4 linked regions of the Stegostoma tigrinum genome follow. The protein of the gene in region 1 purifies or fractionates together with the protein of each later gene. This does not show direct contact. Links are inferred from orthologs where the notes say so. Each region holds a gene or a part of one and is shown in the gene's direction. Other genes may lie near its edges.

Region 1 (7,206 bases):
TAGCATTATATCCAAATGGAGTCATATGAAGTTCCTGATAAAAAGTAGCAAGCCCAAGGACTGGGAGCAGTTTAGAATTCATCAAAGGAAGACTAAAAGTTTGATTAAGAGGGATAAATAGAGCATGAGAGTAAGGAACATAAAAGTGGATTGTAAAAGCTTCTGTAAGCGTGTAAAATGAAAAAGGTTAAAGGTTAGTGAAGACAAATGAAGACAAACTCACAATCTGAAATGGGAGATTTGGTCATGGAGTAGAAGAAACGATAGAGCAATTAAGCCACAACTTCTGTTCTGTCTTCATACAAGACAAGAAAATAAAACTTCCCAGAAGTGCTAGGGAAAGAAGGGTCCTTTGGGTATGAATAATTGACAAAAATTACCATGAAGGAAAATATTTCAAGAAGAATTAATGGGACTGCTAGTTGAAAACTCCTCAGGGCCTGATAATCTACATTTCAGGGTACTAAAGGAGTTGGCCACTGAAATAGCAGATATGTTGGTTGTTATCTGCTAATAATTTACAGATTCTAATTAGGTCCCAGAAAATTGGAGGATGGCAAATGTAACCCCAATATTTTGAAAAGGAGGAAGGGAGAAAAGTGGAATTTAGCCTAACATTAGTTGTAGGAAAAATAATGGGAGTCTATTATGAAGGATGTGATAAACAGAACATTTAAAAACTACCAACAGTATTACACAAACTTCAACATCAGTACCACATTTCCAAACAGGACAAAGATTTACCAATAAACATGTCCAGGTGGGTACTGGAACCTTCAAGAAACAAAGGAAGACACCAACACACTTATTATCACACTGATCTATAACTCAAGAAGTTTTCACAAAATTACTTCTAGAGTAATTGAACGAAAGAAAGTACAGGACTTCTTCCTGGTCACTTGGTCAATTCACTTAATCACAGGTAGGAGGAGGCCATTACTTCAACAAAAATGTTACATCTATGCCTAAGTAATTGCAAGGGAAAACTGTACATATATAGAATCCCAACATGAAACTCCAGAATCCTGACCTGGAAATGCAGAAAACTTCATCAACAATGCCAGCAACTGACACAATATCAGTAACATAGAGTACAATTACTACACAACAGGAGTAACAAAAACAATAATGCATGGCCATTCTTTACTGAAAACAATGAATGTGAAACCACAAGATGGACACACAACATTCCATCACCAAAGCCATAATAAAGTCACAAATAATCCTTTTCAGACAGTATAAACTGAGCAATAAAATATTCTTGTATGTTCAATTTATTTATAAAAGTTAATTATCAAACTACTGTAGTTAATAGAAAAAGTGTTAATTGTTGGGATTGTTATATTTGCTTAGAGTCTTTCGAGGAAGAGGGAGGATATGCATTTAGATTATTCATAAAGAACTTGTTATATAAATATATATCTAAAGGCGCTGCATTCAGTCACATTACAGTCATGTGCTGAGTAACAATGTATCAGTCTGTCAGTCTACAACCATATGGGGAGCTGAAAGAAGAAAAAATGCAATAAAGTTGAAGCATTCTTGAATCTAAAGTGTAATCGGCCTGAGTCTTTTGAGGATTGGCAAGTGCTGTTATATTGTCACTCCACTCATAATTTTCTCCAACTTGCCAGAGCTCCACTTTTCTGGCCCTGCTTCTGTTTCAAGATTCTACAGAAATTTGGAATGTGTCTGAAATGGAACTGCTTTAAATGTAGCATTGGATTGTCAAGATAAGACATGCACAGTAGCTGTGTTCTGCAAAGCTAACTTTTCCAACCTTTCCCTGAAGAGCACAGAAAGAAAGGTAAGTGTGAAAGAGGGTGAGTGTGGGTGGGGTAAAATTGTAGTGTAAGGGTGGTCGGTCAGGTGGTTAAGGGGATAGGTTTACTGTGGATGTATGGTAGGTGAGACAAATGGTTGAGGAATGGTTACGGTAGCACATGAATGCAGTGGATAGCTTGGAACAGTGGGCAAGATGGTATGAAGGTAGTCAGGTTGGCAACAAATGGATTGGGTCAGTTGGGCATGAGTCAGGGTGATTTGAGGATTAGGCAGGGTAATTGGAGTGTCAGGAGGAAAGCTTGTACAGTTGCAGGGGTAACTGGGGGGAAATCAGTGTAAGTGGCTGGGAGGTAAGGTTGGGGAGACAGTTGGATAGCTACCCAGGAGTGAGACCAGATTTTGTCCTGTTCCAACATTTCCTGGGTAAGTGTTCAGCAAATAGATGTATATGATCCAAAAAGTCTCCTACTATACCTGAGAATTGGAAACATTTTCGGAGGGCCCCAGAAACAAGGCATTGCAGACCAAAAGTTCAGATTCATCAAGTCCGGTGGAGTCCTTCCACTGGGACTTCTAAAGAATTCAATAACATACAGACTGGGCTTACTCCAGAAAATAAGTAAATGAAGACCAGGAGATCTGGGCTATTATTGCTAACTTATGGAAACCAGATGACATCAAATCAGTATTTATTTCAGTCATTTACTTTCATAAATTAAAGAGGTGCATAAATTGTCCCAGTGTTCAGCAAGGTATCATTATCTTTTTGATCTCACTGGACTATTATCAGCTGGCACTTCCAGTAATTTGACGGCAAAAAAACTAAACTTGCAATTGCAAATCAAGCTAATGGGGGAGACTGCAAATTCCTTGTTCCAGACAAATCTGATCCCACTGATCCAACAATGATATATATCTCTTGTTTCTTATTTACAAAAATTGCAAGGATTTCTAGTAGCTATATGTACATCACAGTACAGAATAACAGGGGGTTTCACTGATCAATTTTGTTACTGCTGAACAAAGCAATTCTAAGTACAAAAATGAATATATAAATTAACATCCTCACAAGTACCCCTTAAATGAAATTTTTGGTGCGCAAAGTGTTAACATTTCAAATTAAAATAAACATATTCAAAACATTCAGATATTTTTCTTTGCTAAAAGTACACAAACAAAACTCAATCCAGAATTATTAAGTGATTGTAAAAATGACTTTTTATTAAAAAAACACAATATGGCAGTATTTAAAAATCAATAGTAAAATCGTTCAATTCGAAAGACGTAAAAAACATACGATTAAAATTGTTTTAAATAAAAACTGCTTATCTTAGGCTTTTCCATTAATTTAAAATGATTGCTGTTGAGATGTCATAAAAATATAAGTAAATCACAAAACAAGTGAGCTCTACACTTTACCAACGCAAGAACGTTTTCTAAACTGACCACTTCTACTTCAAATATTTGCAAGGTTAAATAGAAACTTGAGTCAATACTTGATGCATGGACAAAACGACCTGAACGACTGAACAAATTAATAGATTAACGAGAAGTACATCAATATTACAGCGGTGAAATGAAATTTCATTGTTAAATATCAACGTATTATTCGCCTTTACAAAAACAAATTACTGCGGATACTGGAAAACGGGCAGGTGGTGGACAGAATCAATTAAACATCTGTTTGTTAGTGCTCTCAGAGTGGCAGGTTTTATGTTGTCCATAAACAAGCACATATAGATATATATAAATATACACATACGTCTCCCTTCTGAGCGCAATAACAAACACTCCTGAAAGCATGGCGAGACGTCTAAAATGCACGAAGTCAAATATCAAAGCAGCCTCAGCAATCTATGCAACAAGCGGCTCTCCCCACATCTCAATCCAGCAGCTTCCCAGATAACGGTCACATCAAAAACGTTCTCCTGCAGACTCTGATTTATACCAGCGAAGCGGTATGGGAAAAATAAATCAATCACCGGAGTAGGAAGATTTCACGTTAAAAAGACTGAGTTGGGAGGGGTAGGAGGCGCCTGCATTTCTCTCACACACTCCCTCCAAGATTCTTCGTCGTCAAGATACCAATAACTGCGAAATAAATATCAAATGGGTTTTCCTTTACGTTTACTTTACCTTTCGTGGTGCAGACAGCAAACACTAACCATACAGCGCCATACAATTCCAAGAAATCGTGCAAGTAACTGAATGTTTCAAGGCGATTGGTGAACATTCACTGCGAGAACTTCGGTTTTAGTGTTCAAGATTTGTACAGAAGATTACCAGTCAAATAAACTTGCTTAGTCGGGGAGCCACATTGACAGGACAGACATCCAATTACAATTCGAGATGCCACAAAGATCTGCCCACCGACGAAGGCAGGCGTGAAAGGCAAACCAATCAAAGCGCACGACAATGTCACCGCTTCCCCTCCTGTACCCCCAAAATTGCAGCAAGTTAGTGTGAAGCCGACCTGAGGAAACCTTTCTGTCTCTTAACGTTGCCTGCACGAATGGGGAGAGCTGTAGGTGGTTTGTATTTACGAAGGGGAGACAGAAATGAAGAGACAAAAATAATTTCCTGGAGGAAGTGAATGTTATTTCCCGTCATTATTCACAACGACCATGTTTCAGTCAGCTGTTTCTTTCGGAGCACGTATGATCAGGCGGCTGAGATAGGCCATCCTGCTGCGGACAGTGGAGGGGCGGGGAAAAGCTGGGCTTTCGCGGTCTCCGCGGCGGCTCGCTCCGAGACGCGGCTTTCAAAAGAAACCGAAGAAGTCGCGAGCTTCAGAGCAGTGTTAGAGTCGCGCGAGAAGTTGTCATGGAGAAAGATGGCGAACTCGAGAGGTAAACAATATCTAATGACTTCAGCCAGAGACTATGTTAATGTCATTATCAGCAGCACAGGGGCTTACTGGCCCTGTCCTGTGTGCGGTGTCTTGGCAACCGACTCTAAACAAACCCGATTCAAATTTTGTGTAAGAGATAATGGGAACTGAAGATGCTGGATAATCTGAGATAACAAAGTGTAGAGCTGGATGAACACAGCAGGCCAAGCAGCAGCTTGGGAGCGCAAAAACTGACGTTTCGGGCATAGACCCTTCATCAGAAACCTTTCTGGTTACCTGTTCGATATCGCGTTTGTTGCAGGCCTCCTCGGGCGTAGCGTATTCCCAACTCTGTATACAGAATGTGTATATCTGTAAAAAACATACCAGCCCGGTGTGACGTGTTCCGCCTCGCAAATCTGGCATGTCATGGCCATTCCCCTCCCGCCCACAACCTCAGCAAGGGTTATGGGTCAGCTAGTGCCGACATAAAATTCAGGCTGCCCTCTGACTATACATGCCAGAGAATATGCTAGGGTTCAGAAACCTGGCACGTTACCATCCATGATAACAAGGTGTAGAGCTGGATGAACACAGCAGGCCAAGCAACATCAGATAAGCAAGAAAGCTGACGTTTCATTTTCTGAAGAAGGGTCCACACCCGAAACGTTAGCTTCCTTGCACCTCCAACGCTGCCTGGCCTGCTGTGTTCATCCAGCTCTACACCTTGTAATCTCAGATTGTCCAGCATCAGCAATTCCTACTATCTCTGAATCAACTTTACCATCAATGACGTTACCATGTCGCTAGCCTCGCAACTGGAACATACTGTATGAACAGCACTATGCTTATCACGATCCTTCAGTTACTGCTCATATAATTTTGAAAATCAAATCAGCACGTGGAATAACACTACAGGTATCCTAATTGCATTTTTTTTGGAATGTCTATTCAGAGTTAAACTGAATTTGTTGCACTTGTAGCACCTAACATAGCAACTGAAATGAAACAAAGAACTGTGAATGCTGGAGATTTGAAGCAAAGAAAAACAAAAGAGCTGGAGAGACTCAACTGATTTGGTGGCATTTGTGGAGTGAAAGCAATGTTTTGAGTCCAGTGACCCTTCTTCAGAACATAGTAATTACTTAATTTCATGTGGGATGTAAGGCCCACTATGACATTGTCCAAGTAACATGTATTTGCTTGACCATTTGCAGTTTTTATTGTTTACGTAATGTGCCACCCCTGGTCTACTCCAAGGCTGGGCAACTTGAGGTTGGCAGTATTTACATTTTGGTGTTCTTAGGGACATAACTGTTGTGCAATATCTCTGCCCAGGAGACCTCGGTTCGAGGTCTCTGAACCTCTGAACAAGTTGGTTAGAAGACCTCTCGAGGTGTAATATGCCCAAGATTTGTGGGGTGGTCAACACCACAGCAAGGAACTCAGCAAATCGCACCAATCTGGCCACCCTGGGCTGTATTATCTGCATACATCTGTTTCAGTTCTTTTCAAGGCCTGTCTTGAGATTTTTTTGAATTTCAAAGTCTACTTTGTTCATTTCCATTAACTCCATTAGATGATACATTCATGTGATAACATGACTGTCTGTGTTGGTGTTGATTTTTTTTCTTCAGTTTTTATGTCATTTTAGTAATCCAAATGGAAAGATTGCAGTACACAGCAGATTTTCCAATTTTAAGACAAGGATTAATTAGTTCAAAAGAGCATGGTAACCATGTGTCAATGCTATAATCTGAAGTGCTATTCCCCATTCCAAATTACCCTTGAAAAGCTAGTGGTTAACTACCTTTTTTTGAGTACACCTGAGTAGTTTGCTAGTCACTTTCAGACGTCTGCTAAAAGTCAATTACATTGCAGTGTATTTGGATTCACACGTAAGCCTGAATGTTTAAGGTTGATCTCTTTCCCAAGAGAACATTAGTGCATCAGGTGTTTTACTTTACAACAGTGCAGTTGTTTCATTTAAGTTTAAATTCCCTTGCAAGAAGGGAATTTAAAACATAAAAGTATCTTGCCACACATCTGTCTTCACTGCTCCATGTTAGATGCCTTGATATCTTATGTCTTATATTAGAACCCAGATACCATTTGCTGTTCAGTGCTTAACCCACATGGAGGCTGCATTTACATTGCAGAGTCAACATGAGGTTGCTCTGACACTAATTACAGTTAATGTGTGGCCAAAGCAGAGAAACACCAGAGTGAAGTGGAGCAGAACAGCCTGTAGGAGGGCTTTTGAATCAGTCAGGACGCAACGTGGACAGCTCAGTTTAAAATTCATGACAAAAATTAAAACTGATTTCTAGCAATCTTGAACTTTACTACAAATGCATGCTTAGCAACAACCTAACTAAAGTCAGTAATAAATTTAGGGTAAAAAACACTTAAAGATGTGGCATCAGTATAAGGAAATGGATTAACAAATTAAGTTGTTTGGAGTGTATGATCCACTATTATCCAGGTTTAACAGTTGGAAATGATGAGGCTACAGCTTTGAGGCACATGCCAGACAGGGAATACAATGTGCATGTCTTGTTTGCACGCTTTAGTCTTTATCACCATATCAC
Region 2 (7,536 bases), on another chromosome or scaffold:
AGAATATTTGCTACAGTTTCTTGAGAGTGCACTGTAGTGTCATCTAACTCATCACAGGCAGATTATTGTGATGACATGTTGCTATTAGTGCATGTTTCTCAGTATCTAACTTCAAAACAGTATCATGAAAATAAAGAGTTACCAATGATCTCCTGTCTTTATTTTAATCTCCCTAATTTTAACTAAGTATTCTCAACAGTACTTGGAAAGTAACATTTTGACAGCCCAGTCACCCTGATCTCATGAGAATATTGTTGTAACAAAGAGCAAAATGCAGAAGCATCATTAAACCGGTAAGGACCTGGGAATATCATAACCCAAGTAGACTTCAATTACAATTTTAATACAAGCTATTTCCACTTGAATATTACAGAATTTGCAGCAAAATTCAACTTGTTTTCATACATCACGTTTCACTGCTCGGTGTCTCTATACAAGTGTGATGGTCTCAATATGAGTAGTCTTTGAGGTGTGAAAGGGTCTAGAGTCTGTTGGCAACTCGATTTGTATGCAAGTCAGAACACTATGAAGGACAACGTAAAACAGCCATTTGTCAGTATAAACGGTTGAATGTTGAGTCATGAAAATTACACCCTGTATGGGACAGCGCTCATAAGTATGAGCGTGTGTTCATAAATTGGGGATCCCTTGTACTTACAGTAAATGTTCCATGTTAGCATATAGCCTAATGATAAGATATTTCAAATTGAAAATGATGGAAAGTGCAATTGAAATAAATTATTCACTATACACCAATTTCTACGAGTTTCTGGATGTGAGTTTGCTCGCTGAGCTGGAAGGTTAGTTTTCAGACGTTTCATCACCATTCTAGGTAACAGATGTTACCTAGAATGGTGACGAAACGTCTGAAAACTAACCTTCCAGCTTGGGGAGCAAACTCACATCCAGAAACTCAACTTGAGCTACAAATCTTCTCCAAACTCGCTACCTTCTACTGAGTTATCTGAGACTGCATACTTATTCATAAAGTTTGTTTTTAAATAACTATAAATTATATCCACTTGACCATTACAGAATTTGCAACAAAATTCAACTTGTCTCTATTATAACATCTTCCAGTCGATACTGATCCATGAGGCAGGTGCATGCTGAGTTCCACCTTCACTTTTATGCTGAGTCAGCCAACTCTGAGCAGATCCATGTTAGAACTTCCCTGATATGTAAACTGTGTCAATTGAGACTGTGTTCTTGTGATAAATATGGCCTTGATCTATACCCATGTGGACATTGTTCTGACTCTGCAATTGAATGGAGCAAATTTTCCCATTTTCCCACCTGAGGCTTTAGCCACACAATGTCTGATGTCTGGAATTCCCTCTAAATTGCTCCACCATCTTTAAGATGGCCCTTTTGACCTACCTTTTGGTCACATGTTCAGGTATCACCTTATGTAGTTCAGTATCAAATTTTCTTTAATGAAATTTCTGTGAAGTGCCTTGGGATATTTATTACATTCATGTTAGCACCTTTAATGGATGTTATCAAGCCCAAATTAAACAATACTGAATTAATGCAATACAACCATTTACAGAAACGATCATGAACAGCCGTAGTGAAGAGAGGAACATCTCCCACCTGGTGCAGATAATTGAATATTTACAAGTTTTACTTCTACAAATATTGTGTAGAAATTCATCACAGACCAAGTACCAAATGATAAAGGAAGATAAAAAGATAACATCTGGTGTAGAAAATCTGTCCGTCAAATGCTATGGTATTGGAGGATCCAGAGTAATGAATAGTGTCGATCTTTATATGAGTCTAAAATAAAACAAATCACCACGGGGAGCACAAGTAATCAGGAGGGGTCGGAACATCAAGTTTTATTAGATACAGGCTGTTGAATATTGGTGTCCCTTTAAAACTAAATTTTCCTAGTATTTGCTGTATATAGCACAGGGTTTCATTTAAAAGCTAGGACACCTGTACCTTCAATTTCAAAGTTCTCATATGAAATTAAAATGAAAAATTACAAAAAAGGACATAATGCCATGAATTAGCATCAACAAGTATCTGGTACCAAACAAACCCTGTTGGTGGAAAAGCTCGGCAGATCTGGCAGAAACTGTGGAGAGAAGTCTGAGTTAACGATTTGGATTGAGTAACCCTTTCCACAGATTCTGCCAGATCTGCTGAGTTCTTCCAGCATTTTCTGTTTTTTTTTCTAATGTACAGCATCTGTAGTTCTTTAGGACCCTGCCAGTATATTGTTTTTGAAAATAAGTATTTATTCTCAGAAAGAATCGTAAACAAACCCTCAGGTTAAGGTGGGCAAGGGGACAATAGTCATGTAATGTCATGGATAGTTGTTCCATGGCCATTTGCTAAAAAGGTTCAGATTGATGGGCACATAGAAAATAATGTGTACCCTAACATGGTAATTCAGTTGGGTTGCTCTTATAAACCATGGCAACAAAATGGTAGATTGTGGAGAGCATTAGAACTTTGTTCTTGAATTAATATCTTTAAATTTAAGGCCTAGGCTATTGCTCTTTATAATCGGGAAAGATGTTCACATTTTGAACTTTATGACCTTTACAACAATGGAGAAAAATCTGGGATATATGTAATTGTATTTTAAATAACTGCACTGGTTTGCCTCTACTACATTGCTTGGTAGATTATTTTAAACATTTTTCATTGGGTAAGAATGGTTCTCCTGATACCTGTACCAAATTAACACTGATTTATAACTTATGTCCTTTACCTCCTTTTTTGGCATAATTTAGAGTCTTTTTAAGATAATATTTATTTTTTGTGATTTTTCAAAAAATTTCTTAAAGCACACAAGCTTTAAGCCTGATTAATGTTTCTTTGTCATTTCTCCCTTCTATGCTGAAAGTATCCTTTTCTAACGTGTAAAACTTTCTTAGTAACAGACAAAAGTGAACAGTTTTCCAAATGGATGAGGGATGCATGTGGATCAAATGCACCAATGTAACACAGATGATAAGATCGAAGGGTTTGTTGCATTGTATAGCCAACCTTGTACTATGATTTGTACTGTTAACAAATCTTATCAATAAAAGAAAGGACAGGGTGAAATTCATGATAACAAAGTGTGGAGCTGGATGAACGCAGCATCTTAGGAGCACATAAGCTGACGTTTCGGGCCTAGACTCTTCATCAGAAAAAAAACCATGGATTGGCAGCAACAATAGAAATTGCTGTCGAAACTCGGCATGTTTAGCAGCATCTGTGGGAGAAAGCAGAGTTAACATTTCAAAGCCATTGTCTCTTAATTGGAACTGCGCCAGATCTGCTGAGTTTTGCCAGCAATTTCTGTTTTTGTTTCCGATCTCCAGAATCTGCAGTTGTCTTTTTTTATTTTGTGGATTTACGGATTGAATTACATTCGTGAATGTAAAATGAGGGAGAGATTATGGTCTCCATAGGTTGACTCAATAAATACCATCAAAAAGTGCACAACATATGGAACTGTGTTTACAGATTATTTTTAATTTACACGACACCAGGCTATAGTCCAACGGGTTTATTTAATATCACAAGCTTTTGGAGCGCAGCCTCTTGCTCAGGTGAAGTGTGAGCAAAGAGCACACAGACCAATTTAGACAACAGAAATCAAGGGCAGAGAGTTAGAACTGGTGTGAGTCCAATGATAAGTCCCTGCAGGTATCCGAGAGTGATAGATGGTGTGAATAAAGAGTCGACAGCTGAATAACAAGTGAAGGGACGCCTATAATCCGATTATGAGGCAGAGAGATAATTACAAAACAACTAAACTAACTGGAAATAACAGGATAGGTATGGCAGTCACATGCTGAGGGTCTAAGCAAAATAATGAATATTTCCAATCTACAAACTAATTAAGGTAGAGATGGTGGCTCAGTGGTTAGCATTACAGCGTCAAAGTCATAGATTTGATTCTACCCTTGGATGACTGTGTGGGTTTCCTCTGGGCGCTCCAGCCTGCACCCACAGTCCGAAGATGTGTAGGTTTGGCCGTGCAAAAACTGCTCATAGTTTGCAGGGAAGTGCAGGCTCGGTGGGTCGGCGATGGGGAATGCGGGGTTACGGGGATTGGATGGGCCTGGGTGGGACGCTGTTCCTGGGGTCCGTGTGGACTCGATGGGCCGAATGGCCTGCTTCTACACTGTAGGGATTCTATGATCATAACACTTTATCAAGGTGATGCTGTCAACACAGGACAGTAAGGAAGCACTCCACATCATGTTTCTGTTCGACGATTACAACAACTACATTTATCTTTTGATTTCGGCGAAAACAACGCCTTTTAAATATAAAGGAAATGTCATTACCTTCCAATCAACTAATTTGTTTTGTACATATTGTTGGAATAATACTCATGCAAGTAAAAGCTATCTGTTTAAAATGAATGAACATGAATTGAGGCACAATCCAAATGTCTTGAGTTGGGAACTCAGCATTGCATCCCCCTCCCTCCTGCGCACGCTCGGCGATCCTGAAGCGGAACCTTTATCGTTTGCCGTTGTTGCCCCCCCGATCCTTCTATCTCGTTGGACAAATGGCGGACAAGTGGAGGCAGCTGTGTGGCGAAGAGCGGCTCCGGCCGAGCCTGAAGAACCTGACAGAGCCGGGGCTGAGGATGGGGCGAGTGGGCTTGGACCCGGACCCGGAGCAGCGGCAGCGGCGGAGGGCATTGCTGGAGTTGGTCGCGGCTCACGTGGACTCGTTCGACCAGGCGGTGAGCGAGGGGCTGGCTAGGGCCGTGCAGGTGAGTGCGAGCCCAGAGCACGTGGGGCATGGGTTCGTGTCGGGGCGGGGGGGGGCGGAAACGGAGGGCAACAATGGGGCACGGGCACTGGGGGGGGGGGCGGAAACGGAGGGCAACAATGGGGCACGGGCACGGGCACTGGGGGGGGGGCGGAAACGGAGGGCAACAATGGGGCACGGGCACTGGAGGGGGGGGCGGAAACGGAGGGCAACAATGGGGCACGGGCACTGGAGGGGGGGGCGCGGAAACGGAGGGCAACAATGGGGCACGGGCACTGGGGGGGGGGCGCGGAAACGGAGGGCAACAATGGGGCACGGGCCCTGGAGGGGGGGGGGGCGCGGAAACGGAGGGCAACAATGGGGCACGGGCCCTGGAGGGGGGGGGGGCGCGGAAACGGAGGGCAACAATGGGGCACGGGCCCTGGGGTGGGGGGCGGAAACGGAGGGCAACAATGGGGCACGGGCCCTGGAGGGGGGGGGGTGGAAACGGAGGGCAACAATGGGGCACGGGCCCTGGGGTGGGGGGCGGAAACGGAGGGCAACAATGGGGCACGGGCCCTGGGGTGGGGGGCGGAATCGGAGGGCAACAATGGGGCACGGGCCCTGGAGGGGGGGGCGGAAACGGAGGGCAACAATGGGGCACGGCCCTGGAGGGGGGGGGGCGCGGTAACGGAGGGCAACAATGGGACACGGGCCCTGGAGGGGGTTGGGGGGGGTCACGGGCGGCAACAATGGGGTACGGGCTGGAGGGGCCGGAGGGCAACAACGAGGCACGGACCATGGAGCGGGGGTGGGGGGCCGGAGGGCAAGAAGGCAAGAATGGGGCACGGGCTCGGGGCGGGGGACAACAACAATGGTGCATGGTCATGGGGGGGGGCAACAATGGGGCATGGGCCCTGAGGCATCAACATGTACAGGGGCAACAGCAGTGGCTATAGAGCAGGCATAACTGCATTGGGCCATGAGGCATGTAACGGAGCATAATAGCACAGGGTAGTTGGACCATAGAAGGATCAGCAACATGGACCTGGGAAACAGCAGCAGCTATAGAGGAGGCATAACTGCAGTGGGCCATGAGGCATGTAACGGAGCATAATAGCACAGGGTAGTTGGACCATAGAAGGATCAGCAACATGGACCTGGGAAACAGCAGCGGTTGGAGTATCAGTCTTAAGGATCTGGGCATTGGCAACATCGACCATGGTATGGGTGATGAGCAACAGCACCTTGCAAGGGATAATGGGAACTGCAGATGCTGGAGAATTCAAAATAAAGTGTGGAGCTGGATGAACACAACAGGCCAAGCAGCGTCTCAGGAGCAAGGCTCTTGATAGGCAGATGAGGAAAGGATGTTTTCTTTTATGGGAGAGTCTTGAATTAAGGGTTGCAGTCACCTATTTAAAACAATGATGAGATTATTTTTCTTCTCGGCTGTGCATTGGGAGCCTTAGAACTCTGTTTCTTTAAAAAAAAGTGGTGGTAGTGGAATTTTCAAGGAACCGTATGTACAATCATCTTGTGCTAGGTGATGAAAATCAGGGTTTGGTGGGAATGGGGATTTGGAGTTGTAATCAGGTGAGCTGTGATCTTACTAAATGGTGTTGTAGACTCAAGAGGCTGAATGGCCTACCCCTGATTCTAATATAGAGTCACAGAGATGTACTGCACAGAAACAGAAAGTGCTTTTAAATTTTTAAAAGACCTTGACTATTTACCCGATCCATGCTCCTCATGATTTTATAAACCTCTATAAGGTCACCCCTCGGCCTCTGACTGCAACAGGGAAAATAGCCCCAGCTATTCAGCCTCTCCCTATAAGCTTAAACCCTCCAATCCTGGCAGCATCCTTGTACATTTTCTGAAGAAGGGTCGAGGCCCGAAACGTCAGCCTTCCTGCTATGTTCATCCAGCTCTACACCTTGTTATCTCAGATTCTCCAGCATCTGCAGTTCCTACTACCTCTGAGATCAGAACTGCACACAGTATTCCAAATGTATGTTTATATGAAAGCAGCAACTGGACAGGGAGAATAGCTACATGAATCTGAGTAATGACATCAGAGGCATCAGAAACATGCTCCAAGGCAGCAGTAATATGGACCCTGAGCCACCACCCAGATGCCGGTGCTCTGAATTGCAAGAGCAAATGTCAGCCTGGGCCTTGGTAGCTCTTCAGTTGGTTGGGCTGGGCTTTATTCATCAGCCATTCCCACTAGTTTCCTTAATTACTGTAGAGATGTAGAACATAGAAGGGAACCACTTCTCCACTCAAGATTCTTTGAAGTGCAGTCAACATCCTTGCTGTTTTTACTCTTCAATTATTTATTGAATTTCTTCTTGAATGAGTCAAATCTCATCTTTATCTTCTTTGCTTCAAGAGGTCTCACACCTCCTCCAGTCTTTCTATGCAATTATAATCCCTCATTGTTGAACCTATTCTATTAATTTTTAAAATTCTGTCCAAAATCTTTGTAATCTTCCTTAATTGGACACAATGCTCCTGATTGGACAGCACTGGTATTTTATTTCGGTCAATTCTTGTATAATATCCTGGCATTTGTACCCGACAATAAAACCCAGAATCCCATATCCTTTCTTAACTGCTTTATTAGAGTCATAGAGATGTATACAGAATGGAAACTGACCCTTTGGTCCAACCTGTCCATGCTGACCAGATATCCAAAATAAATCTAGTCCCGTTGCCAGCATTTGGCCCATATCCCTCTAAACCTTTCTTATTCCTGTACCCATCCTTTTAAATGTTGTAATTGTACTAGCCTCCTTCACTTCCTTTGGCAGC
Region 3 (6,823 bases), on another chromosome or scaffold:
TCATGAATGGTGTTGGAGATGATGGTTTGGTGCTCGGGGGTGGGGTCATGATCGAGGGGGCGGTAAGAGGTGGTGTCGGAGAGTTGGCGTTTGGCCTCGGCGATGTAGAGGTCAGTGCGCCGTACTACCACTGTGCCACCCTTGTCTGTGGGTTTGATGGTGAGGTTGGGGTGGGAGCGGAGGGCTGCCCGTTCTGCGGGGGAGAGGTTGGAGTGGGTGAGAGGGGTGGAGAGGTTGAGGCGGTTAATGTCTCGGAGGCAGTTGGAGATGAAGAGGTCGAGGGAGGGTAGGAGGCCTGGGGGTGGTGTCCAGGAGGACAACTTGTGTTGGAGGCGGGTGAAGGGGTCAGTGGAGGGAGGGTTAGGCTCCCGGTTGAAGAAGTAAGCGTGGAGGTGAAGACGGCGGAAAAACTGCTCTATGTCCAAACGTGACTGGTATTTGTTGATGTGTGGTTGTGGGGGGACAAAGGTGAGCCCCTTGCTTAGGAATGACCGTTCATCCTAGTCAGTGGGAGGTCTACAGGGATGGTGAAGACTCAGCAGGGCTCTGTGTGGCTGTCTACTCTGGGGTTCCCGGCTGTTGAGGTTGTGGGCGGAGCGATGAGATCGTCAGCTGTGGGCGGGGTTCCGTCGGCATCAGCCATGGGCTGGGTTCCGTCGGCAGTGGGAGGAACAGGGTGGGCGGCGGCAGCAGCGGTGAGGGTGGTGTGTGGTGTTACAACTGGAAGTGGAGGTGGTGACTGCCGCAGCAGTCGCATCTGCGGTCCCAGAAGTGGTGTGCCCAGCGGTGGCAGATGTGTCGTCATCGGTGGGGTCTCCGGCCATGTCCTCATGGTCAATGGTGGCGGGTGCTTGGTGGGGGAGGGGCAGGGACTGGCTCGGGATTTGGGAGGTGCAGGAATCCTTTTCAAGGTGCCAGGAGCCAATGAGTTTGTAGTACTTACGATTTTTGGAGTCCAGTAAAGCTGAGTAGAACTGGTGTTCAGTCTGTGGATCCTGTGGAGGATAAAAAACAGGAGAGGTCCTTTGCTGGTCTGGGAGAGGGAGGCTCTGAGCTGGGGCAGGCTGGATTGCAATGCCTGGAGGTGCCGACGCAGGACTCGCAGGGAGAAACGCTTCTGAAGGGTCTGAATGCTCTGGGTGTAGAGGTGGTCACGGTTGGGGCAAAATTGGGAAGGCTTGAATGTAGACTGTGGTCCATTGGGGATGATCCAGTTCCGTAGGCAGGTGCTGAGGAAGGTGATGTGGCTGTGGTACCTGGTTTGCTTCACGACATGGTCGAGCAGTTTCAAGGATGAAGAGATTGCAAGAGAGTTGCAGTGGGAGAGAGATTCCCTGAGGTTGGTCCGGAGGGAGGAGGGTAACTTCTTCAGGTTAGGCATCCCTGGAAGAGGCCTCGCAGTGAGGTTAAAATTGTATCAGAGATAATGGGAACTGTAGATGCTGGAGAATCCAAGATAACAAAGTGTGGAGCTGGGTGAACACAGCAGGCTAAGCAGCATCTCAGGAGCACAAATGCTGACGTTTCGGGCCTAGACCCTTCATCAGAGAGAAGTCTGTTGAGGTGTTCGTGTATGAGAAACTGCCATGGGCATCCCAGTTGCATTAATCTCAACTTCTACCATAAGAAGTGCACTCAGTTAGTTTAGTCAAGAGAAAAGTGTGCTACGTCAGCAGTACTGGCACACCTTGTTGATCCTTACTGTGGTTGTGATTACGGAAAAGGATTCAATGTAATGAAATAATTAATGTCACATCCACAATTCTAACTATTGATGGCTTTAAGATTCACAAATAACGAAAGGGGGGGTGGACACATTTGAAATAGAACAGTTTGAGAACTGTCATGCAGGCAGTGGGGAAACAGAGGAAACATTATGCCTTGTGCACTTCCTAAATTTGCTCATTCACTTTGGAAAAAGTGAGTTTAGGTCATTGGACCTCCAGTTTGAAGGGATCTAACAGAAAATTGGCTGAACAGATGGGCCTAGCTCCCTTTCCATCCTGCTTGCTGTGTTGACGGCTCAGCCAGACCCGTGGAGCACCTCACAAGGGTTAGATTACCCTGGTCCTTCTTAACACCGAAGGCAGTACCTCTCCTCCAATTCTCCTTCATCAAGATCCCATCTGATAGGAGGGTTATTCTTTTAAGGGTGCAACATACCACTCCAATTCAAGAATCCTTGAGTGACTGTACTGGAAAACATCCCCTAATCTGTCTACCAGAACCAAATCTTGAGGACTACAGTGCCTGCTCTATGGTGGCCCTGGTATGGCGACAGGAGGCTGCTGAAGCATTTCTGTGCCTCAACTGGTTTCATAATAGTTGTTAGCAGATATCTATTTAATGGATTGCTGCTGGAGAAATGAGGCTCTCTGCCTGATTAAGTGATTCTTCAACCAAAGTGGACTATAGGATTCAGGAAGCCCAGTTGTGTTGGTATACCAAATCGGGACATCACCTTGGCTCCCTCCCTGCCTTGTGCACAACCGCTCGATATGCCTTAGGACTAAAGGCTCATAATTAGTGCAAAAATAGCTGCTCATTATTGTTGTTTATCTCCAAATCTAAGCTGCTCAGCTCAATATCCAAAGATGGCTTTTCCTTCCTTCAGAAGGCTGATCATAGCTGCCCCCGAAGCGCACTAACCCTTGTTTGGTCGCTCCCCCCCCAATAACACTATGAGGCTGCATACTCTATAGCCACTCCACCTCACTAACCATTCCACCTTTTGTGCTAATCTCCTACTTCCCCACACACTCCTATAACATTGAACAAAACTTTTTAAAAATCACATCTGAAGTGGGGCTTGAACCCAAGGTTTCTGCCCAGATGCAGGAACGCTAGCACGGCATGACAGAGCACCCATATATTTGCACAGATTTTCTAATCTGCCAGTTAAGAGACGTGACTGTACACTTCTGCGGCAGGGGAGACTTCAACCTAGGCCTCCTCACTCGAGCCCACATCACATCCTGTAAAATGTTATTTTCTCGTTAAATTACTTTTGATAGAGACTTTAACCAACCTACCTAGATGTGTTATGATAGCCCTGGTACTGAGGCAGCACCTGTCTGCAGCAGGTAAGATTTGAATACAGGTCTTTAGGTCCATAGGCAGAGGCATTACTACTGCACTACAAGTCTCTCAATTATACTTTTACACAATATTTTTCTAAACAACCTGTTCAGATACATTATTACACATCTGTGGAGCAGGGAAACTTGAACCTGGGACCAATAGTCCAGCAACAGGGACACATATCTTTACAGGTCCAGAGGTGCCATCACACACACACACAAACAAACACCACCAAATTACCATAACTTTCTTTTTTACCCTGCACCTTGTTTATACCCAGAAGTGCTATCTCACACAACTAAGTGACCTTCCCACTACTAAAATCACCATGACTGCTTTTTTTTAAAAAACTTACCAACAACCACCACCAGTAAAGTAAAACACCCGTTTTAGATATTAGATGCTTACAAGCAAAGGCCATTACTGGCGATGCAAACCATCTAAACGGGGGGGAGGTGGATGGGGAAGGGACTAAATCAAACTGGAGTTGCTGGAAGAAATGAAGAAGTGTATACCCTGCGGCGCCCACCTCTCTATAACGTCATGGAGTACACTGAAGAGACACCCAGCCATGAACCATATTCTTACACATTATTTCTATCCATCTGGTTCGAATACCTCAGTTGAAGCAGTTCCCCGGCCCAGAACCAGCTCCCGCTCAAGGCCGCGGCTGGGATTCATGACCGGAAATCACGTGGGCCTGTGCGGCCAGTTTCTTCCTCCGGTGAGAGGTCGGAACCAAACTGCGGTGGCAGAGCGGCTGTCAGGGCCCGAGAGCGGAAGCAGGATGGAGGTGTAAGTTCTCTTCAAATGTTTGCTCCAGTTTTTAGATCAACGTTGCCTCATCAAAGTCACTAGCAGCGTTTAAACGGAGTCGGGTGTCCGGCACGGGGAGAAAAACAGAAACTACGGCTCTCTTCATAGCTTTTCAGTCTGTCTTTTGGATTTTTCGCTGATTTTAGAAAACCCGCCTTCAGTCTTTTTCAACACTTTTCTTTCACAACAGACAAAACTCGTTCTTTTTGGTTGTCCTGTGTATTTTGTGCAAATAGCCCGATTTTTGTTTTGGTGTGAGTCTCTTATGTCTGCTGAATGAATAATTCATTTATGCAGCTCGGGAAGTTTGGCCAAGCAGTGATGGTTTGTGAGGTTATGAATTGTGCGGCAATTAAGAACGAAACATAGGATAAGTCTGGTTGGACTCAGTACCTGTGTCTTTTATTTTGGTCCAGTATGTTCAACGTGTGGCAGACCATGCGTGTGGTTGAAGGGACAAGCAATGTCAGTATCGCAACACGTTAGAGCAGAAAGAGCAGGGGCCGCAGAGGAGAGATGGTGCAGCAGGAGGTGTTGAAAATAGAGACTTTAGAGCAGCTGTCAATGTGAGAGTTTGGAACAGGGAGTGTGATGAGACTTTCAATTGCAATGTTCTCCGTATAAATAATTTACTTTGTCTCGCATAATTGTGGGAGGGAGGCAAGGGCTTGGGGAACGGGGAGCTGGGTGGTGGCGGGTATCTGTCGACGATACGTTGATCTGATTGACCATATTATATGGGAGTAAAACTCCGTTAATTTGAATATCCTCATCATGACCTGCTTATGTCTCCCAACGTTCTCACATCAATGTTCTGTAGTAATCGCAGTATTAGTGATAGTCACTCACTTCCCACATGTTTTTCTTAGCTCCCTTTTTTAAAAGAAAGCATGATTTTTGTATCTGTCAGCTACTTCCGTTTTCTCCACCGCTTTGTCCATGGCCGTTTTTCTTGATTTGTGTCTGTCCACGTGAGGAATAATGTAGAAATGCAAGTTATGTACTGTGTGTGGATGCATTTAAGGGGTTTCTCAGATAGCAGAACGAAAGCTTAGAATAGAATCACTACCGCGTGGAAACAAGTCATTCGGCCCACAGAGTCCGCACCGACTCTCCCGAGAGCATCTGAGATGATGGGAACTGCAGATTCTGAAGAATCCGAGATAACGAAGTGTGGAGCTGGATGAACACAGGCCAAGCAACATCTGAGGAGCATAAAAGCTGACGTTTCGGGTCTAGACCCTTCTTCAGCTGCACACTTTGTTCTCCCGAGAGCATCCTCCTACCTTATCCCTTTAACCCTGTATTTCAGCACGGCCAAGCCATCTAACCTGCACAACTTTGGACTGTGGGGACGAAATCTTCGCAGACACGTGGAAATCATGTGAACTCCACATAGACAGTTTCCCAGAGCTGGAATTGAACTTGGATTCCTAGTGCTGTGAGGCAGCGGTGCGGATCATAGCCATCGTGCCGCCTCCTGTTCTTAAATTATATCGGGGATAAGTGCACATGAAAAATTCATTTTTTTTGAGGGAAGAGACAATCTTACAGCTGTCTTGTGGAGCTAAAAGTGAAGAACATCGGGGGACTGATGGTTTGCAACGCGATATTTTTTTAAAAACTCCAATGTTTGATCCCATTTATGATTCTATTGATAAATTAGACTTCTCATGTTTATAAAGTAAGTTCATATATAATTGTATTGGGAATTGATTACTGAGTAACTGTAAACTGCACCAATTTCAATTGTGACAATCGGGTTTTCTACCCTTTTATACACAATATATTTTTGACAAGTGCATCAATAACCAGCTGACAGTTATACACTGTCCTGATTATTGACTTATCCAGTATAAAATTTTAAAATGTCTTGTAGAAAATCCTCTGTTTGAACATCAATTTCCACCGAAACATTTCAAATCTGTTGTGGATGAACAGTCTGGGCGATTCTCCCTGAAGTGTCAAGGCTGAGGGGTCACCTTTTATAGAAGTTTAATAAATCATGAGCACTGATAGGGTGATTAGTCTTTTCCTCGGGGTAGTGGGGTCTAAAAGTAGAGGGCATAGGTTTAAGGTGAGAGGGGACAGATTTAAAAGGGACTTAAGGGACAACTTTTTAATGTAGAAGATGCTGCATTTATGGAATGAACTGCCGGAGGAAGTGGTGGAGGCTGGTACAATTACAACATTTAAAAGACATCTGGATGGGTATATAAATAGGAAGGGCTTAGCGGAACATGGACCAAATGCTGGCAAATGGTGCCAGTTTTATTTGGGATATCTGGTTTGTATGGACAATTTGGATTGAAGGGTCTGTTCCTGTGCTCTACAACTCTATGACTCTATACTATAGCATTTAGTACAAGCACTAAAGTGAACATTTGTGAATAAATTAACTTTTATTATTTATACCGTACAACAAAACAATCCCCTTTTTAAATACAAGATGCTAAAATTAAAGAGCAGAGAATTGAAATCTTTTATCGTAGTTTGGCTTCCACTAGTTAATGCCACCCCTTGTATTGAATGTTGACGGAAGAGTAATAGGAGCTTGCAATTCTTTATAGTGCTTTAATATCAAAATAAGCTCTAACAAATTTAGGTGGTGTAATAAAACAAAAATGAATGTTAAACTGAAGGAGATTTTAAAAGGATTGTTAGTGGGTCAAATTGAAAGAAAAAGAAAGAGAAAGAGGCATAGTTTAGGGAGGGAATTCCAGAACATGATGACTGGACAATTGAAATACATGGTTACTGATGTTTTACCAAGAGAATTGGGAGTGACTACACAAGTAGCCATTTCAGGGAGGTATCATATTATCAGAATTGATTCTGACATTGAGAGGTAAGGCCATGTAGGGATCTGAATATGAGAAGATTTTTAAACTTGAGGCTTTGGGAGCCAATGTAAAGTCAAAGCCAA
Region 4 (7,954 bases), on another chromosome or scaffold:
GGGTGGCATCATTGTGGCACTGCAGGAGGCCCATGATGGACATGTCGTCTAAGGAATGGGAGGGGGAGTTAAAATGGTTCGCGACTGGGAGGTGCAATAAATGTTGGTTTATATCCAGAAGATAGGGTGATGGGAGGGGTAAAGAGCAAACGATACGTGGAGATAGAGCCTAGGGAGAGGGAAGAGACGTTGGATAGACAAAGAGGTCGATAACGATCAGGCTGGCAGGGTGAATAGCTGTTAATGGGCACTGTTAGTGACGAACAATATGTAGTGTGTAATGGCAGGCCATGTGATAACAAGGCCTAGTGTGTGGGTAAGGGGCCAGGACACTGGAGAGTATAGGCTCTAAAATGATTGAACTTAATATTGAGTCCACGGGCCTGCAGTGTCCCCAGGTGGAAAATGGGATGCTTGTGCTGAGCTTCACTGGAACACTGTAGCAAGCCTGAGACAGAGATGTTGACCAGGGTACAGGCAGGTGTGTTAAAGTGGCAGGCAACTGGAAGCCAATGGTCTTTTTTGTGGGCGGAGCGTAGATATTCTGCGGAGCAGACACCCAGTCTACACTTAATTTCCCCAGTGTAGAGGAAACCACTTTGTGAGCAGCAAATGCAGTAGACTAGATTGTATGAAGGTTTACTTGGGCCCTTGGATACTGGGGAAGGAGGAGGTAAATAGGCATGTGCTACACCTTCGGCAGACAGGAGGTGTCTGTTTCTTGGCCTCATCCAGTGTTCGTCCAGAAGGGATCAGTATTTTTTCACTTGCTGTCATTTCAGGATGTTGTGGCTAGTTATGGCTCTCCTATGTTCTGCTAACTTACTCAGCTGGAAGATAGAACTTGAGACCTCCTGCTACGAATCAGTGCAGCGTTGGTAAATTATAGGAGAGCTCCATTTTATGTTACTCTGTCCCCAGAGTGATCATACTCTAAGATCTATGTTCATGCGTGGTCTGTGGAACTGGAGCTATCTCAATTATGCAATTCACGCACAAGTCTGACAGTTGTAGAATTGTTTTTGATCAACAGGTCTGATCTTGCCATCAGCATCACAATTGTTTAAACTGTTTTTTAAAAGTGTGTCAAAAGGATAACAAATTTTAGTCTCTCTTGAATTTGTTTTTTTATTTCTTGAACACATTAAAAAAAGACATGCTTGTGTATTTGTGGTTGCAAGTCTGGCAGATCATTCCAAGCTTTATCACTCTCTGAATAAATACTTAAGATCTTTTTGATATCAGTTTTAACGAATTTTTAATTATGCCCTGCTGGCCTAATTTTTCTGGTTTGAAAGCTAGGCCCAAATTTTTCCTGCCAAATTCAGTATTGAGCTAGTATACATCCCTTGGAGATGCATGTCGGCAGCTAGGACCACAATGTTTGAGAATTTTTGTTCATAATTTTATGGAAGGCTAGGAAAATTTAACAGTTTAGCTCAACAACATGCTTCATGTCCTTCTGGATGAAGGGACGGGGGGCATTCTGGCGAAGTTTGCCGATGATACAAAGATAGGTGGACAGGCAGGTAGTACTGAGAAGGTGGGGAAGCTGCAAAAAGATATAGACAGTTTAGGAGAGTGGTCCAGGAAATGGCTGATGAAATTCAATGTGAGTAAATGTGAGGTTTTGCACTTTGGAAAAAGAATACAGGCATGGATTATTTTCTAAATGGTGAGAAAATTCATGAAGCAGAAGTACAAAGGAATCTGGGAGTGTTGGCCCAGGATTCTCTAAAGGTTAAGTTGCAGGTAGAGTCCGTGAGTAAGAAAGTGAATGTCATGTTGTCGTTTATCTCAAGAGGGTTGGAATATAAAAGCAGTGATGTGCTTCTAAGGCTTTATAAAGCCCTAGTTAGGCCCCATTTAGAATACTGTGTTCAATTTTGGGCCCCACACCACAGGAAGCACATACTAGCCCTGGAGCATGTCCAGCGGAGATTCACACGGATGATCCCCGGAATGGTAGGCTTAATGTGCAATGAACCGCTGAGGATCCTGGGATTGTATTCATTAGAGTTTAGAAGGTTGAGGGGAGATCTAATAGAAACTTACAAGATAATGTCTGGCTTAGGAAGGGTGGACGTTGGGAGGTTGTTTCTGTTAGGCGGGGAGACTAGGACCCGTGGGCACAGCCTTAGGATTAGACAGGGTAAATTTAAAACAGAAATGAGGAGACATTTCTGTGGTCAGAGAGTGGTGGGCTTGTGGAATTCATTGCCACAGAGTGCAGTGGAGGCCGGGATGTTAAATGTCTTCAAGGTAGAGATTGATAAATTCTTGCTCTCACAAGGAATTAAGGGCTACGGGGAGAGTGCAGGGAAGTGGAGTTGAAATGCCCATCAGCTATGATTAAATGGCGGAGTGGACTCGATGGGCCAAATGGCCTTACTTCCACTCCTACGACTTATGGTCTTATGGTCTTAATTGACCCATCCTTAAACCTAATTTACCATTTTACTTTAGCCAGCTCCATTTTCGTGCCTTCATAATTGTCCCGAATAAAATTTTAAAGGATAGTCTTGGGCTCACTTCTGCCTAGTATCATTCTGGTGAAAACCTTTGAAAATGCAACTGAAAAGTGAACAATTGGAAACTTAATTTCATCACTTACTTATTAAGGTGCAAGATATTGGAGACTTTTCATCTCAGACTTCACTTGCATCAGAAAACATTGTATATTATGAAAATGCTTCATTCAAGTTACAAGTAAAATGTGAAAGGAGAAATTGCAAAGTTGAGAATTTTTATAGCCTATGTGTTGCCTGTCCTTCTTTTTTCATCAGGAATATATTAGCCCAAATGAACTGAAAATCTTACAGTGTTGATTTTAAAAATGATTTGCATTCAAATAGTGCTTTTCATAGTCACCAATTACTTTACAGACAATTGAAGTACATTTGAAATGTAGTTATTATTGTCTGGTGGAATCTTGTGACTTTAATTTGTTGAAGGGTACCTGGAATCTCAAAACTTTGTTTAACTTAAACAAGGAAAACCTTACTGGTCTCCAACCAGATTGCAACATGCATTTGCTGGCTTCATTGGGTATTATAACAGGTGTTTAGTGGGGTTCTGTTGTGTGTGTAAATCTGAGCTGCACCCCACCCCCCTGCATGTAGCACAGGACCTCGCAGGTCACTGAGATTTGGTTACATTATTACCTCGGGATTTCCTTGTGTTTTTACTCTCCTCTGATATTTCTGAGCAGCACGACCAGAATTATCCAATTTGGAAAGTGAGCAGTTTCCTCTTGGAAACAGAAATCTGACCTGAATCTTGGCTTACAAAGTAATGGTAGCATAATCATCTCTCAGTCAGAGGGCTGAAGGATGAGTTCTCACTCCTGAGAGTTGATCACAAGCCTTGGTTGATACTCAAATGCTGTGCTTAGTAGGGGCTGTTTTTTGAAGTAAATGCTAAGTTGAGGCACAACATGCTCTATCAGATACATGTAAGAAATCCCACAACACTAATCATGTAAGAATAAGACGGAAAGAGTTGAGAGACTGGTTAACAATATCATGACAGCCAGGAAACAGAATTAGGCCATACCGTAAGCACTGTGTGCAGTTCTGGGTTGCCACACTAAACGAAGTGATTGCATGAGAGTTGAGTTTGCCTGGCTTGTAGTGAGTCAGCTATTAACAGAGACTAGAGCAGAGAAGTCTGAAGCGGGGGACATGGTTGATGTGTACTGAGTTATAAATGCAATATGGAGACAGAAAGGGCTGCAGGTGCTGGATGCTAGAGTCAAAAAATATGGACCTGGAAAAGCACAGCAGGTCAGAGAGCATCCGAGGTGCAGGACTCAGAATCCTAAAGGAGAGTTCTGATCCAAAATGATGAATGATGAATGATGACTTTCCTGCTCCTCGGATGCTCGCTGACCTGCTATGAAGGCAATACGATAGGGAAGATAGGAAGGAACTTTTCTCCTTGGTAAAAGGGTCAATAACCAGGGACACATTTTTAAATGTAAGAATCAGGTTTTAGGGAAGATCTGAGGAAAGATTTTGTACACAGAAGTGGTGGATATCTGGAACTCCCTGCTTAAAAGGGTGGTAAAGCAGGAACCCTCATGACATTTAAGAACTACTTCAACGAACACTTGAAATGCCATGGCAGAAAGGCTACGGGCCAAGTGCTCGAAGTTTGGATTAGAGTAGTTAGAGGCTTATAGTGTTGGAACAGACTCAAGGGACAAAGGGCTTTCTCTAAGTTGTTAAAAAAATGAGTCAGCTACAGAACTGACTTATTTCAGAGCACTGTAAGAATTTGTACATTAAAGGTGCTATATAAATGTAGTTTTCGTGATCCAAATCATCAAACTGCGATGTATTGAAAACTAAGAATGCTGAAAACCACAGCGGATCAGGCAGCACCTGGGGAGATCAAGCAAGCTTACATATCAAGTCTAGACGAACCTTCATCAGAGGTGATGTGAAGTGTGGAGGAGATAAGAGGGCTGGTGGAGAAAGGATGTTGATAGTGCAGATTAAATGATCAGAATGTGAGAATGGCCGAACAGTGGTGTGTCCAATTGCCAGACTGGAAAGAACAGAGACAGTCCTACTGGACAGGAGGGAATGGAGAGAGGACACGGTGACAGAGAGTACAACAACTAAAGGTAAAGCAAAGACAAAGTTTTCAGTTCAGACTCCACCATCTGCAGTAATTTGCGCCTAAGCTATGATGTATGTAGCTTTGGCCTCTGGATAGCGCTGTTCTGTGGGACTGTTGATGATGTTAATACTGGACGACGGTGTCGCTGGCGCCGGGCGGCGTGGGCTCGGTAGGTGGCGGTGTCGCTGGCGCCGGGCGGCGTGGGCTCGGTAGGTGGCGGTGTCGCTGGCGCCGGGCGGCGTGGGCCTGGTCGGTGGCGGTGTCGCTGGCGCCGGGCGGCGTGGGCCCGGTAGGTGGCGGTGTCGCTGGCGCCGGGCGGCGTGGGCCCGGTAGAAGTTAGTGTGCGGCCTGGTGTCGGCGTTTGCGGAGTGTTCGTCCGGTTGGTGTTTGTACTGATGGCAGCTTTCGGTGTGTGGAAGTACAGGAATTTAACGGAATTGGATCCGGAGCAGTCGGCGACACTCGGTAGCGACTCTGGGAATATTTGGATTAGTCAGGCAGCGCGGAATGGCTGGGAATGTAGATCCAAAGGCACAGCCGGGGAAACAAAACTTGCATTTGTGTAGCATCTTTCATAAGCACTTAGACTTTTCAGACCACTTTTGCCCACCGTGTACTTTTTACGGTATAATTACTGTCGTGCAGACGTGGAAAAGCGAAGCTTGGCTCATATAAGGGCAGTAGTTGAAAATCTGATACTGTGAGTGCTGGAAATCTGAAAAAAAAGTCACAGCGTTACAGATACTCTTTCATTTATTTATACTTTCGTTCTTGCATCTTTGGCATAAATATCTGGCATCTTTTAGTTGTACCAACATTTATTACCCACCCCTAATTGCCTTCAATAAAGTGGCAGAACTGCTGCGACTCCTGGGGTGTGTAGGTGCACCCACAGTCCTGCTCGGGATTTTTGACCCAGTAACAGCGATGGGATTATCACTATAGGTCTCAGTCAGGGGTCTGTGTGAAATGAAGTGGAACTTGCCGGCAGTGATATTCCCATGTACTGGCTGCCCTTGTCATTCTTGGTGGCCGAGGTCACTGGTTTGGAAGGTGCGGTTTAAAGGTCCTAGGTGAGCTGCTGTAGTGCATCTTGGAGATGGTGCACACTTCTGTGGCTGAATATTGCTGCTGGGGAGAGCTTTAAAGGTTGGATACTGGGCAAACTGCTTTGCTGTTGGTGGTGCCAGAGCTGTAGTCACCCAGGTAAGTGGGAAGTATGCTGTGGCATTCCTGACTTAGGCTTTGTAGACGGTGGACAGTCTTTAAGGAGTCAGAAAGTAAGCTTATTGCTGCAGAATTTCTAGCTTCTAATCTGATCTTGCATCCACAGTATTAAATAGCTAGTTCAGCTCAACTTCTGCCCACTGGTAAGTGCCAGGTTGTTAATAATGTGGGTCATTCCGCATTATGTAATTATCAGTGAACATCCCATTCCTGATGCTTTGATGGAAAGGAGCTCATTGAAGCAGCTGAAAATGGGTTAGGCCTAAAATGCTATCTTGAGGAATTCTTGCAGTGATGTCCTGTGGATGAGATAATTCACCAGGACGGCACAGTGGCTCAGTGGTTAGCACTGATGCCTCACAGCTCCAGGGACTTGGCTTTGAATCCAGTTTCGGGCACCAGTCTGTGTGGGTTTCCTCCCGGTGCTCGGGTTTCCTTTCACAGTCCAAAGGTGTGCAGGTTAGGTGGATTGGCAGTGCTAAATTGTCTTAGAATCCAGGAATGTGCAGACCAGGTGACTAGTCACAAGGAATGTGGGCATATGGTGGTTCTGGGTGGAAAGCTGTGCAGAGAGTTGGTGTGGACTTGATGAGCCAATGGCCGCCTTCCACCCTGTATGGATTTTATGATTAAATCTGGGCGTGCAAGTAGACCATTCAGCAAGACAATGGCTAATCTAATAATTCTCAACTCCACTTCTCTGACTGTTCTCCATAATCCTTGATTTCCTTACTGATTATGGCACAGGTGGACTTGCTGTGTTGTATCCTCAAAGCTGAAGGTTACATTGATAGCATGCTTAAGGAGGTGGCTACACCAAACGTTTATAGCATGCCAGCAGAACAGTGTGACTGCCAGTCCCTGTATAAATCCCCCACCCTCTCTCACTAACTAACTTTTTCTATTTTGGGTGGTATTGAGAGCAATCACTTCTCAGAGGAGTATGGCAGGAGCCAAGTTCATGCCATTCATGACTGGCTCAGCTGCACAGGGATTGAGGCAGAAGAGTGAAAGTTTAGTTGTGGTAGCAGATTTGATAGGTAACGGTTACAGGCAAATTCCAGATAAAATAACCATCAAAACTGCCAGATTATCATTTTGTGCTCCTAAGATGCTGCTCGGCCTGCTGTGTTCGTCCAGCTCCACACTTTGTTAGCTTTTGTACTCTTATCATTAACCCTGCTAGTTTGATGTGGTTGCTGAACAAAGATATCCCGTGGGCCACTAATGAAATTTATGACAACACTGTCCTGTTTTGCAGTTCAGTTTTCCAATGGGAAACTCACAAATTCAGAAAATGTGGAATTTCAGCTGCATAAAAATATACACAGAAATCATCCCCGGAAAAAGCATCAACTGATCTTGGTAAGGACAGGTGTTCTTCCGCAGTAAAACATTTACAACAGTTTGCTCCATAGTAAAACTGGCATGATTAAAGTTATTATATGATTTCTTTAAGCTACTTTAATAACATTGCTAGCTCATTGAAATTGTTTAACTTCATTTAAAATGATTCCTTTTTCATCCACTGTAGTCTGCTGAGACGGATAGATTGACTTACGTTGGAAATAATTTCGGACCAAGTGCTCTGAAGTGTAATTCGTTGTGCAAGTAAGTTTGTTTCTTTGAATCATTGGCAGAATTCGATTTTTAAAAAGTGCTGAAAACATGCAACAGGATTGTCAACATGTGGGAAGAAATAGGAGAGGTTGTGGCGACAATCAGACGCTCTCTTCACTTTTTGTACCTATTCACGTGTTGAATCCTGAGATTAGCTAGAACAAAATTGCCTTCCTTTCAATTTGACCAACTACAGTGTAAAGCAAGCATAATATCTATGTTAAATGTGAACAGCAGTGAGGAATTGATAAATATCATTTTTGGATAAGGTAGCTTAGACAAATGGCATTTCCCATGCCATAAAACACAAAGAGTAATCTTTTCCCAGATACAGCCACATTTTGGACAAAGAACCTACAAATCATATTTTTTCCATTCTGTGCAGTATTGGAATCCACCCAGCCGCATTGGTGGTACACAGTTTGATTGGTGCTAACCTTTGAAATGAAAGAGAAGGTATGTTCTATTGTTGAGTAGAGGC

The links.
Region 2: the proteins of si:ch211-140b10.6 (region 1) and polr1b purify together in Homo sapiens (affinity purification with mass spectrometry; 5 studies listed by BioGRID and IntAct, with this or other methods). This does not show direct contact. The link is inferred for Stegostoma tigrinum from reciprocal best matches to the Homo sapiens genes POLR1D and POLR1B.
Region 3: the proteins of si:ch211-140b10.6 (region 1) and crcp purify together in Homo sapiens (affinity purification with mass spectrometry; 5 studies listed by BioGRID and IntAct, with this or other methods). This does not show direct contact. The link is inferred for Stegostoma tigrinum from reciprocal best matches to the Homo sapiens genes POLR1D and CRCP.
Region 4: the proteins of si:ch211-140b10.6 (region 1) and polr1e purify together in Homo sapiens (affinity purification with mass spectrometry; 3 studies listed by BioGRID and IntAct, with this or other methods). This does not show direct contact. The link is inferred for Stegostoma tigrinum from reciprocal best matches to the Homo sapiens genes POLR1D and POLR1E.

Annotation. Positions count from the first base shown.
Region 1 is NC_081359.1:78,384,833-78,392,038, forward strand, and holds the start of si:ch211-140b10.6 (protein POLR1D-like), read left to right. Parts: upstream 1-4,201; 5' UTR 4,202-4,608; coding exon 4,609-4,634; intron 4,635-4,912; exon of another isoform or gene 4,913-5,049; intron 5,050-7,206.
Region 2 is NC_081357.1:19,879,677-19,887,212, reverse strand, and holds the start of polr1b (DNA-directed RNA polymerase I subunit RPA2), read left to right. Parts: upstream 1-4,515; 5' UTR 4,516-4,528; coding exon 4,529-4,738; intron 4,739-7,536. UniProt on the Homo sapiens protein: Catalytic core component of RNA polymerase I (Pol I), a DNA-dependent RNA polymerase which synthesizes ribosomal RNA precursors using the four ribonucleoside triphosphates as substrates.
Region 3 is NC_081380.1:23,486,356-23,493,178, reverse strand, and holds the start of crcp (DNA-directed RNA polymerase III subunit RPC9), read left to right. Parts: upstream 1-3,806; 5' UTR 3,807-3,868; coding exon 3,869-3,876; intron 3,877-6,823. Other genes in the region: uncharacterized protein LOC132211035, read right to left, coding at 536-995, 3,670-3,686. UniProt on the Homo sapiens protein: DNA-dependent RNA polymerase catalyzes the transcription of DNA into RNA using the four ribonucleoside triphosphates as substrates.
Region 4 is NC_081356.1:12,667,300-12,675,253, forward strand, and holds the start of polr1e (DNA-directed RNA polymerase I subunit RPA49), read left to right. Parts: upstream 1-4,946; 5' UTR 4,947-5,021; coding exon 5,022-5,091; intron 5,092-7,114; coding exon 7,115-7,218; intron 7,219-7,387; coding exon 7,388-7,464; intron 7,465-7,954. UniProt on the Homo sapiens protein: Component of RNA polymerase I (Pol I), a DNA-dependent RNA polymerase which synthesizes ribosomal RNA precursors using the four ribonucleoside triphosphates as substrates.